2 linked regions of the Arabidopsis thaliana genome follow. The protein of the gene in region 1 interacts with the protein of each later gene in a pairwise test. Each region holds a gene or a part of one and is shown on either strand. Other genes may lie near its edges. The genes, in order: MBD10 and HSFA1D.

What was found.
Region 2: the proteins of MBD10 (region 1) and HSFA1D interact in a two-hybrid assay, tested with the Arabidopsis thaliana proteins (one large-scale study listed by BioGRID).

Annotation. Positions count from the first base shown.
Region 1 is NC_003070.9:5,275,078-5,279,721, reverse strand, and holds MBD10 (methyl-CPG-binding domain 10), read left to right. Parts: upstream 1-1,852; 5' UTR 1,853-2,247; coding exon 2,248-2,310; intron 2,311-2,735; coding exon 2,736-3,827; 3' UTR 3,828-4,106; downstream 4,107-4,644. Other genes in the region: AT1G15350 (DUF4050 family protein), read left to right, coding at 236-240, 533-777, 868-958, 1,047-1,116, 1,188-1,241; AT1G15330 (Cystathionine beta-synthase (CBS) protein), read right to left, coding at 4,223-4,513, 4,587-4,644. UniProt on the Arabidopsis thaliana protein: Probable transcriptional regulator. Required for nucleolar dominance that consist in the silencing of rRNA genes inherited from one progenitor in genetic hybrids.
Region 2 is NC_003070.9:11,656,246-11,662,140, reverse strand, and holds HSFA1D (heat shock transcription factor A1D), read left to right. Parts: upstream 1-1,669; 5' UTR 1,670-1,906; coding exon 1,907-2,194; intron 2,195-3,614; coding exon 3,615-4,771; coding exon of another isoform or gene 4,772-4,775; exon of another isoform or gene 4,776-4,863; coding exon 4,864-4,876; 3' UTR 4,877-5,177; downstream 5,178-5,895. Other genes in the region: AT1G32337 (uncharacterized protein), read right to left, coding at 19-57, 207-326. UniProt on the Arabidopsis thaliana protein: Transcriptional regulator that specifically binds DNA sequence 5'-AGAAnnTTCT-3' known as heat shock promoter elements (HSE).

The sequences.
Region 1 (4,644 bases):
AACGAGATTTTATCATCAGGTAAGCAAAGCTGTTTGATTCGTTGATTCTTTTGTATATATTGAATATGTTTTTGTTCGCTGTTGATTGGTTTCTTCTTTGGCTTTTATCTATAATAGGGTTGGTTAATTGGTTTGTTATTTGACAAGGATCATTGATCACCCTCTTGAGAACATCTCGAGCTTTCCCAGATCTATCTGAGCTCCTGGGTTTATAAATCGCTTCCTTCACATATCGATGGGGTGCGTTTCTTCTTCCGATTTCTGTTTTTGACTTTATGCAGAATGTTTTGGTATTTGATTGATTTGGATTTGAGATTCTGTTTGATGGGCTTTGTTCCTGCGTTATGTGCTGCTTGGGATTCATGTTCATGATAGATAAACCCTAATTTTATTGCTGGGGAATGGTGTTTATAAGGTTGTTTTATGCAGATGAGATAGCTATCTCTGAAAGTTTTATAGAAAAATGTTTTGCTAAGGAAATAAGGATGTTTTTTGGGCAATGATCAAAAGTTATGGTTTTGTAACAGAGCAGTGGCTGCGTGGGTTGCTACAGAGAACACAGATCAACTGCCGCCAGTCTGAAGGATCCACCTTCCAATTCCATTGCTCGACCGTGTAAGAAACCGAGTGTCTCTGAAGATTTCTGGTCAACAAGCACAGTTGATATGGACAACATCACCTTCCCTTCACAGGGGAGCTTATCATCATCCAATCAGACTTTTGATTCTCAATCTGCTGCTAGAAACTCTAATGCTCCTCCTGAATATGTAAATCAAGGTACTTTCTTTTTTGGATTTCACGGAAGGGGAGCGTTGTGGTCTAGTGTTTTGTGATGGTTATATATGAAGTGGGTTTGTGTGTTTGCAGGTCTTCTTCTTTGGAATCAGACACGGGAGCGTTGGGTGGGAAAGGATAAACCCAACAACCCGGTGGATCACAATCAAGGAGCCAAGTTAAAGTGAGTGGCTCTGTTACACACTATTGTTTGCTGAAAGCTAAGGGCTAAAGTCTGGCAATGTTACATTTTATATGTCTATCATTTGCAGTTGGAACACAGCAACGTATGATAGCTTGCTGGGGAGCAACAAGTTATTTCCCCAACCCATTCCTCTCACCGTAAGTAATCAAACTCCTCCGAGTGCAGGAAAAAAACCCAGTCAACTAACTGTGTTACTGATTGAAAACAGGAAATGGTGGATTTTCTAGTGGACATTTGGGAACAAGAAGGTCTATATGACTGAACAAGACTTGGAAGACACACACACATACTGGTTCGGGCATTTCTGATTTATTTTTTCTTTTCGGTTTTCTTTTCTTTTCTCAAAGCCCTTGTTGTTACCACTTATCATCTTCCATTTGGAGTTGATCGAGAATACTGGGAAATGTGGCTTATACGTTTTCACCGTAAATGAGAAATATCCTTTGTTTACCATCTTTCAGTCCAAAAGAATTAAGAGCAATATCTCGGTTTGACTAATCAGTATCTTAATATGGGACATGTTCTTGTGTATTTTTGTTTTGTTTTGTTAAGGACATGTTCTTGTGTCTCATGTCCCACTTGCACATTGATCCTACCTTCCAGGTGATCTGTCCAGTGTTTGATTTCCACATATATGTACATTTTATTTTAATAAAATGATTAGAGGACATTCCTTAAATTAGTGCTCTTCACTAATTATTAGGGATTAGACTTGTGCCAACAAGAGAATCTGAACCTAAAAGTATCAAAGCAAAAAAAATGTTCCGAATAGTAATTGGGCTGTTGATTTGGGCTTTTAGCATGGAGAGTAGTAGTAGGAGAGTGGGAATAAAACAGAAAAAGAATATTCGGCGTGAAAACAGCAGCGGTCACGTACCGGACCTCAACACCACTCTCCATTCTACTTTATTAAGCGGGAAACAGATACTTCCTTATCCATCGATGAAACGTCGACCACACTGGATACGTGTCGTTCTCAAAGAGGTCTGTCACTAAACTATCACGTCGACCCAGTGTAAATTTATCATCCACGCTCTCGTGGATTACGTGGAGGAAGAAATATCATTTCTTGTTTGAAATAAAAAAAGAATAAAAAAAATTAGGACAGAACAGAAGAGACACGCAAACATATCCATTAGGGTCACAACGGTTCTTACAGCTTCTATTACCAGAAAGGAAAGAAAGCCGAAATTTGTTTCAAGATAAAGTAATTTAAGTTGGAGCTTGTTTCTTGGTCGTACAGTGTCAGGTGAATAGAGAAGAAGAAGATGGAAAACACAGACGAGCTTGTCTCCATTGAGCTACCAGCTCCAGCTTCATGGAAGAAACTGGTATTTCTTCCTTCTTTGTCCCTTCTACTGTTTCTTGAAATTTCTGCTGTAATTATTATTCCTTTTTTCCTTTAATTGATGTTGTCTGTGTAAGAGATTGTTTGTCTGTTCTGCTTTATCTTGAAGTTAGTTTCTTTTGTTTCTCATGGTTTAGGGTTTATGTTCAATTTGGGGGATTTCAAGAAATGTTCGTTTCTAGTCGAATTTGGGGCTCTTTGTGTTCAATTCATTTTGAATTATCCAATTAGATGGGAATTTAACGGTTAGGGCTTTCTTGGAGGTCAAATTAGGGTTTTGGATTAAATACTCTTGAAACCCTAGATTTGGTTGATTAAATTTGGGGGTTTCTCTTAGATTGTGCCTTGTGTTGCTGCTAGTTCATGTATCTTTGGTGTTTGATTAGTAGAAGCTTGTTTTGGTTTCAGTTTTATCCGAAAAGAGCCGGTACTCCGAGAAAGACGGAGATTGTGTTTGTGGCTCCAACGGGTGAAGAGATTAGCTCGCGGAAGCAGTTGGAGCAGTACCTGAAGGCCCATCCTGGCAATCCTGTCATCTCTGAGTTTGAGTGGACAACTGGGGAAACTCCAAGGAGGTCTTCAAGGATCAGCCAAAAGGTTAAGGCTACAACGCCTACTCCTGACAAAGAGCCCCTCCTGAAGAAGAGACGATCTTCTCTCACGAAGAAGGACAATAAGGAGGCTGCTGAGAAAAATGAAGAGGCTGCTGTGAAGGAGAACATGGATGTTGATAAGGATGGGAAGACGGAAAACGCAGAGGCTGAGAAGGAGAAAGAGAAGGAGGGAGTGACAGAAATTGCAGAGGCGGAGAAGGAGAACAACGAGGGTGAGAAGACTGAGGCTGAGAAGGTGAACAAAGAGGGTGAGAAAACTGAGGCTGGGAAGGAGGGTCAAACGGAAATTGCAGAGGCTGAGAAGGAGAAGGAGGGTGAAAAGGCTGAGGCTGAGAACAAAGAGGCAGAAGTTGTGAGAGACAAGAAAGAGTCCATGGAAGTGGATACCTCTGAGTTGGAGAAGAAGGCTGGGAGTGGAGAAGGAGCTGAAGAACCTTCCAAAGTTGAAGGCCTCAAGGACACTGAAATGAAAGAGGCGCAGGAAGTTGTTACTGAGGCTGATGTAGAGAAGAAGCCTGCAGAGGAAAAGACTGAGAACAAGGGCAGCGTGACAACCGAAGCTAACGGAGAACAGAATGTAACCCTGGGTGAGCCTAACCTTGATGCAGATGCTGAAGCAGATAAGGGAAAAGAATCCAAAGAATATGATGAGAAGACGACAGAAGCTGAGGCGAATAAGGAAAATGACACTCAAGAATCTGATGAGAAGAAGACAGAAGCTGCAGCAAATAAGGAGAACGAAACCCAAGAGTCTGATGTCAAGAAGACCGAAGCTGCAGTAGCAGAGGAGAAGAGTAACGACATGAAGGCAGAAGACACAAACAGAAGCTTGGAGGCGAATCAAGTTCAACAGCAGCAGGGAGCTGCAGCTTCCGTGAGCTGTTAAAACCTATATCGTTCTGTACAGAGCACAGAGCGTGAAGAGTTTGTTGTGATTTCAGGTGTAGCATTAACATTATGAGTGGTTGTTGTATGTGTTGGTAGAACTAATGTCTCTCTATGTTGTAGTTCAGTCCATTATCATTTGACGTTTGTATCTTTGTACCTTTGTACTTTGTTGTATTATTAATATTAGGCATTTAGACTGTCCTTTGTCTCATACTTAGACGAGTGATGCAAAGTGAATGAATCCTAACACCCAAGTCCCAAAGCAGAAGATTGCATGGTAAAGATTAAAAAGTTAAAAACAAAGTGAGCTTTTTGATTACAAAAGAGTAGATCTTACAAAGTAGAACATTACATAATAAGATAAAAGAGGTAAAAACACAGAGAGCTCGTTGATTACGAAAGAGTAGATCTTAGGGAGCGTATGATATCAGTGAGGGAGACGACTCCTTGAAGCAGACCCTGTTGATCCATCACCCATACTCTGTGCACTCCTCTGGTCACCACTTTCTCTATAGCTTCCTCCATAGTCGACTCCACACCGCAACTCACCACCTCCCTCTCCTTCCCCGAAGTTTTCTCGGTGAACTCCAGAGCTGTGAGTGGCAGCCACGTTTGCAACTCCGGTAGGCGACATCCTTTCAAATCAGTTGCTGAAAACGTACCTATCACTTTTCTATGTCTCCCCTGCAATCTCAAAAAACACAAAATGAGTAAACATTATATATTAACCAAAGTATATATGTAAAATGAAGCCTACATTGACTAGCTGCAGATGATCCTCTTGTGCTATATCAGGTGCATGAACGATGGGGACA
Region 2 (5,895 bases), 6.4 Mb from region 1:
AAGATTGATAACACTGAATCAGCCATTGTCGACTTGATGGATTGTGTTGATTGTTTTCTGGTGTTTATAATTCCCAGATTGATTTTAAGATGAGCAATTGAAAGAACAGTAATAGAATTGGATAAAACTTATTTAATAATTGAGATGTTGATTTTGTTTAATTGGGTTGTTCTTTTGTGAATTGTAAAATTCATGCGGAAGCTCACCTTGATCTTCTCTTTCTTAGCCATATTCTTAGCAACGATTCCAGTTTTCAGGTCAATGTCGATGTTAACGTTATTAGCAATTAGAATGCGTTTAAAATGCTTTGTTGAATATCTCTTCATTAGTTACGACAAATTTGTATGTGGATTCAAAGTAAATCTAACACCCATCGTAACAATCAAAGAGAGAGATAAACTATTTTTTCAAATAAACATAATCTGGAATTCTATGGGAAGAATGGAGAAGACAAGACCGACAGCAATTTTGTTTTTTTTTTTTTTTTTTTTTTTTTTTTTTTAAGAAGGTATGACATATAAAGTGATTTGGTATCAGTTTGAATGGATTTTTATCGGGTTTGGTCAGAAAACCGATTAAACCCAAATATATGGGGAAATAGATGAAAACTATCGATTTTGGGAAATATAAATCGAGAAGTATCTTTTCGGGGACATCTGGATTGTGGTCATACTTAGGGCTCTATCTGGCATGATGTCATAGTTATCATGGAGAAATAGACCGTTTGACCGACAACAATTTTGTTTTTTTTTATTTTTTTTATTTTTTTTTAAGAAGGTTTGACATATAAAGTGGTTTGGTATCGGTTTGAGTGGATTTTATAGGGTCTGGTCAGCAAACCGATTAAACCCAAATATATGGGGAAATAGATGAAACTATCGATTTTGGGAGATATAGATCGAGAAGTATCTTTTCGTGGACATCTGGATTGTGGTCATTGTTCGGGCTCTATCTGGCATGATGTCATAGTTATCATGGGAAAATAGACCGTTTTCCTATTACAATACATATGCCGGCAAAAAAAAATACATTTCTATAAGCTAAACCGACAAACAAACATATTTTCCGTAAACAAAAATAGATACAAATGGAAAAAACCTAGAATAAAGGAAAACATTAAAACTAAACAAAAACTTCTCAACCTCATAACTAAAGAACTCATAAATAAAGTACAAAATCTAAATATGAATTGAAATAAAATACAGATATGAAAGTAGAGATCCACATAGAGGAAATAAAACCATGACTTTATTTTTTAGACGATGTATTTAATATAGTATTTTAAGTGATTTGTGTAAAATTTACAAATCATATATTATTTAATTATGAAGTTAAAATTTTTTAATAAAATTTAGTGTTATTAAACTAATGATTTAAAAATCTACTTTTATTATTATTCAAAATAGTTTGTAGATTTAATTATTATTATTTTTAAAAGATTTGAAAAAACTTTGTTAGTTACTAATACATAAATCTCTGATGGAATTTGAAAAGATTGTAAGACAAAATAAAATTTCAATTTATTATTTTAACGAATTAAAATCGATACTCGTGTCAGGCTAGTCAGCCCAAAAAGAAAAAACAGAGCGTAATAGCGAATAATATAGTGACACGTAATAAATCATCCGCTTTTAAGAGAAAAAGCGAAATGTCTAATTCCGTAATTTCGTAAGTGTTCATGAGTCTCCCGTCGTCTCTCTTTCGTCCTCTCCATCGATTTCAAAATCTCTCTTCTGATCTATATCTCTCTCCGCCCATATCTCTCGTGAATGTTCTCTGAGAATTCTCTAGATCTTCAATCAAAAGTTATCTCTCTCTCTCACCTATTGTAAAAATCACCAGTTTCGTATATAAAACCCTAATTTTCTCAAAATTCCCAAATATTGACTTGGAATCAAAAATCCGAATGGATGTGAGCAAAGTAACCACAAGCGACGGCGGAGGAGATTCAATGGAGACTAAGCCATCTCCTCAACCTCAGCCTGCGGCGATTCTAAGTTCAAACGCGCCTCCTCCGTTTCTGAGCAAGACCTATGATATGGTTGATGATCACAATACAGATTCGATTGTCTCTTGGAGTGCTAATAACAACAGTTTTATCGTTTGGAAACCACCGGAGTTCGCTCGCGATCTTCTTCCTAAGAACTTTAAGCATAATAATTTCTCCAGCTTCGTTAGACAGCTTAATACCTATGTAATCTTCTTCCCTTTCCCTTCGCCTTTTTTTTTTACTTCATCATTTCTCGATTTTATGGATTTTGTTCCATTAATGTTGTTCCCATGGTTGCTTTATGTTTCTGAGCAGAGGAGTTTTGTATCCATTAGAATCGATAGTTAGTTTCATGAGTATGCTTTTTAGAGACTACTTTATTTGCAATACTTGATATCTTGTGATTGTTTAGTTTAGAACCTCACGGCTTTGAAATGATAGATATGTGAGAGCGTTGATGAAGCTGACTGTACATACAAACTTAGGGGGATGAGAATAGAGATGTATACCCTTTTTTTTTTGTCTTTGTTGTCTGTTTGACTCTCTGTAATCAGGTTTAGTAATAGTCGTAAGATAGTAATAAACCTTCCTGAATTTTCTCAGCATTCATTATAAAGGAGAAGAAAGAAGAAATTTGGAATAAGAGAGCAAGTCTCATGTTGATCATGACCTGAGTGCAAGGTTATCAACTTTCTGTTTTACTAATCTATCATTTTGTTGTAGATGAGTCAAGGTTTAGTGGAGATATCTCACGTCTTTGAAAACCTTAAAAGGCCAATGTGATCAGGAGTGCCTGGAATAGAAACTAGATCTTAAGTAGATATATGGGTGTTTAGTGTTGGAATATCTATATTGTTATTAGTGTGACTTTAAATCTTTATCTGGCATGTCAGTTACGGGAACCATAGGTTTGCTCTGTACGGTTGCACTTAGATTAAATACTTTTTATTCATATAGGCTGGATGGAGATTTTATTGTGTATATAAGTAGATAACTATATAAGCTTTGCTCTAAAGGTCATGGTGAATGGAGCTTGTACTGCATAATATTTAGAGCAGGATGCTCGTGATGCTGCAAGATGGTGAATGCACTTAAAGGAGCTTGAATTTTCTGCTGACAGTTCTTGTTTGCCAGTTATTCCTTAGTTACTGTCTGTGTGGTACATGATGTCTTACATGTTGGGCACTATTTGAAGCAAAATTCAATCTTTATGAGTTTATACCATGCAGACTTTGACATAAAGATTACACTGGTAGATCATAGATACTTTTCACCCTCTTAGTTTTCAGTTATCCCTATTAGATATTTTGGTTTTTCCTCGGTTTGGGTGGTAGGTAAGACCCATAATAGGAACATAAATAAAGTAGTTTTCATGATTCATATATTAAATTGACCATGATTGGTCATTTACTTGACTTCTGAATTAAAATTGCTCTTGATGCATGTGCCAACTGATCAGTTACGTCCTGTATATGGCTGTTTCAATCTGTGGATAGTTGGCAGTTAAAAGACTATGTGTTGAAGGTTTTAGATTTGCACTTCTAAAGCTGTCGGATGAATTCTTTCTCATTGGTCTTGGTGGAATCCATTTTCATTCCATTTTGCGTGTCTTTTCTTGATACAGGGTTTCAGGAAGGTTGACCCAGATAGATGGGAATTTGCGAATGAAGGTTTTTTAAGAGGTCAGAAGCACTTGCTACAATCAATAACTAGGCGAAAACCTGCCCATGGACAGGGACAGGGACATCAGCGATCTCAGCACTCGAATGGACAGAACTCATCTGTTAGCGCATGTGTTGAAGTTGGCAAATTTGGTCTCGAAGAAGAAGTTGAAAGGCTTAAAAGAGATAAGAACGTCCTTATGCAAGAACTCGTCAGATTAAGACAGCAGCAACAGTCCACTGATAACCAACTTCAAACGATGGTTCAGCGTCTCCAGGGCATGGAGAATCGGCAACAACAATTAATGTCATTCCTTGCAAAGGCAGTACAAAGCCCTCATTTTCTATCTCAATTCTTACAGCAGCAGAATCAGCAAAACGAGAGTAATAGGCGCATCAGTGATACCAGTAAGAAGCGGAGATTCAAGCGAGACGGCATTGTCCGTAATAATGATTCTGCTACTCCTGATGGACAGATAGTGAAGTATCAACCTCCAATGCACGAGCAAGCCAAAGCAATGTTTAAACAGCTTATGAAGATGGAACCTTACAAAACCGGCGATGATGGTTTCCTTCTAGGTAATGGTACGTCTACTACCGAGGGAACAGAGATGGAGACTTCATCAAACCAAGTATCGGGTATAACTCTTAAGGAAATGCCTACAGCTTCTGAGATACAGTCATCATCACCAATTGAAACAACTCCTGAAAATGTTTCGGCAGCATCAGAAGCAACCGAGAACTGTATTCCTTCACCTGATGATCTAACTCTTCCCGACTTCACTCATATGCTACCGGAAAATAATTCAGAGAAGCCTCCAGAGAGTTTCATGGAACCAAACCTGGGAGGTTCTAGTCCATTACTAGATCCAGATCTGTTGATCGATGATTCTTTGTCCTTCGACATTGACGACTTTCCAATGGATTCTGATATAGACCCTGTTGATTACGGTTTACTCGAACGCTTACTCATGTCAAGCCCGGTTCCAGATAATATGGATTCAACACCAGTGGACAATGAAACAGAGCAGGAACAAAATGGATGGGACAAAACTAAGCATATGGATAATCTGACTCAACAGATGGGTCTCCTCTCTCCTGAAACCTTAGATCTCTCAAGGTAACTAAAGATCAACTTTAGTAGTTGTCTATCAAACTCTAACTATTCAAGTTTAATTGCTTAGTTATTTATATTATGTTTATTTCACTCAGGCAAAATCCTTGATTTTGGGAGTTTTTAAAGTCTTTTGAGGTAACACAGTCCCTGAGAGCAGCATATTCATTTTTCATACGCTGATCTTTTATTTCTTCTTTCTTGTATCAAAGTGGTTTAACATTACTGCTTCATACAACTCTCAATTTTACACAAATTCTCTATCAATATGAGAATCTGTGTCATGTTTCAGTCTCTTGTTTGAACTTTTCGCTTATTTTGCTTGAAGAAGAGCAATGCGAACTTATTAAGTCAACATAACTATTCATCTGTTCTCTTTTTTTGACATTATTAATCCTTCATGAATGCCGAATAAATCCAAACTAAACTAAAATTCATAACTTCACAATACCAAAAATTTCATACAAAACATATTGAACCGAGTCTATGTTTAGTGTAAACTAAACCGAACTATTTCAAATACCGTAAAACCTCTATAAATTAATATTCAATAAATTAATAATCTTTATAAATTAGTAAATTATTTCGGTCCCGATTTGAAACCAATGTAAAAATTGATACAACTCGGATAAATTAGTAAAATAATATTTTTTTTATGAAAATCTTATATAAATAAATGGTCTCATCAATAATATAAATTAATAATTGTATAAATTTACCAATATATATCTATATATAATATTATAAATATCATATGTAAAAAATGACTAGTTATGTTTTTCTTCAGTTTTTATTAATTTTTTGTAGTGTTGAATTCTAATATTTTACAACATCAAATTTCTATTTTTATTTTTTAAATTTAATAATTGTTTTCTACTTGTAATTGTGTTTCAGAAATACTATTGATTATAAAGAAAAAAAAACTTTTTATATCAAATTTTTTGTTAGAATTAACAAAATTTATACAATTTTATTAATTAATACCTTTCAAAGTAATAAATTTTTTTTGTCCCAATATTATTAATTTATATAGGTTTTACTGTAAACAGAAAATTTGTAAGAAAAAATAAATCAAGTATTTTTAAAAAAGTTATTAAATTTTTAAGCCTAGTCAAAAGTAATAAAAATTT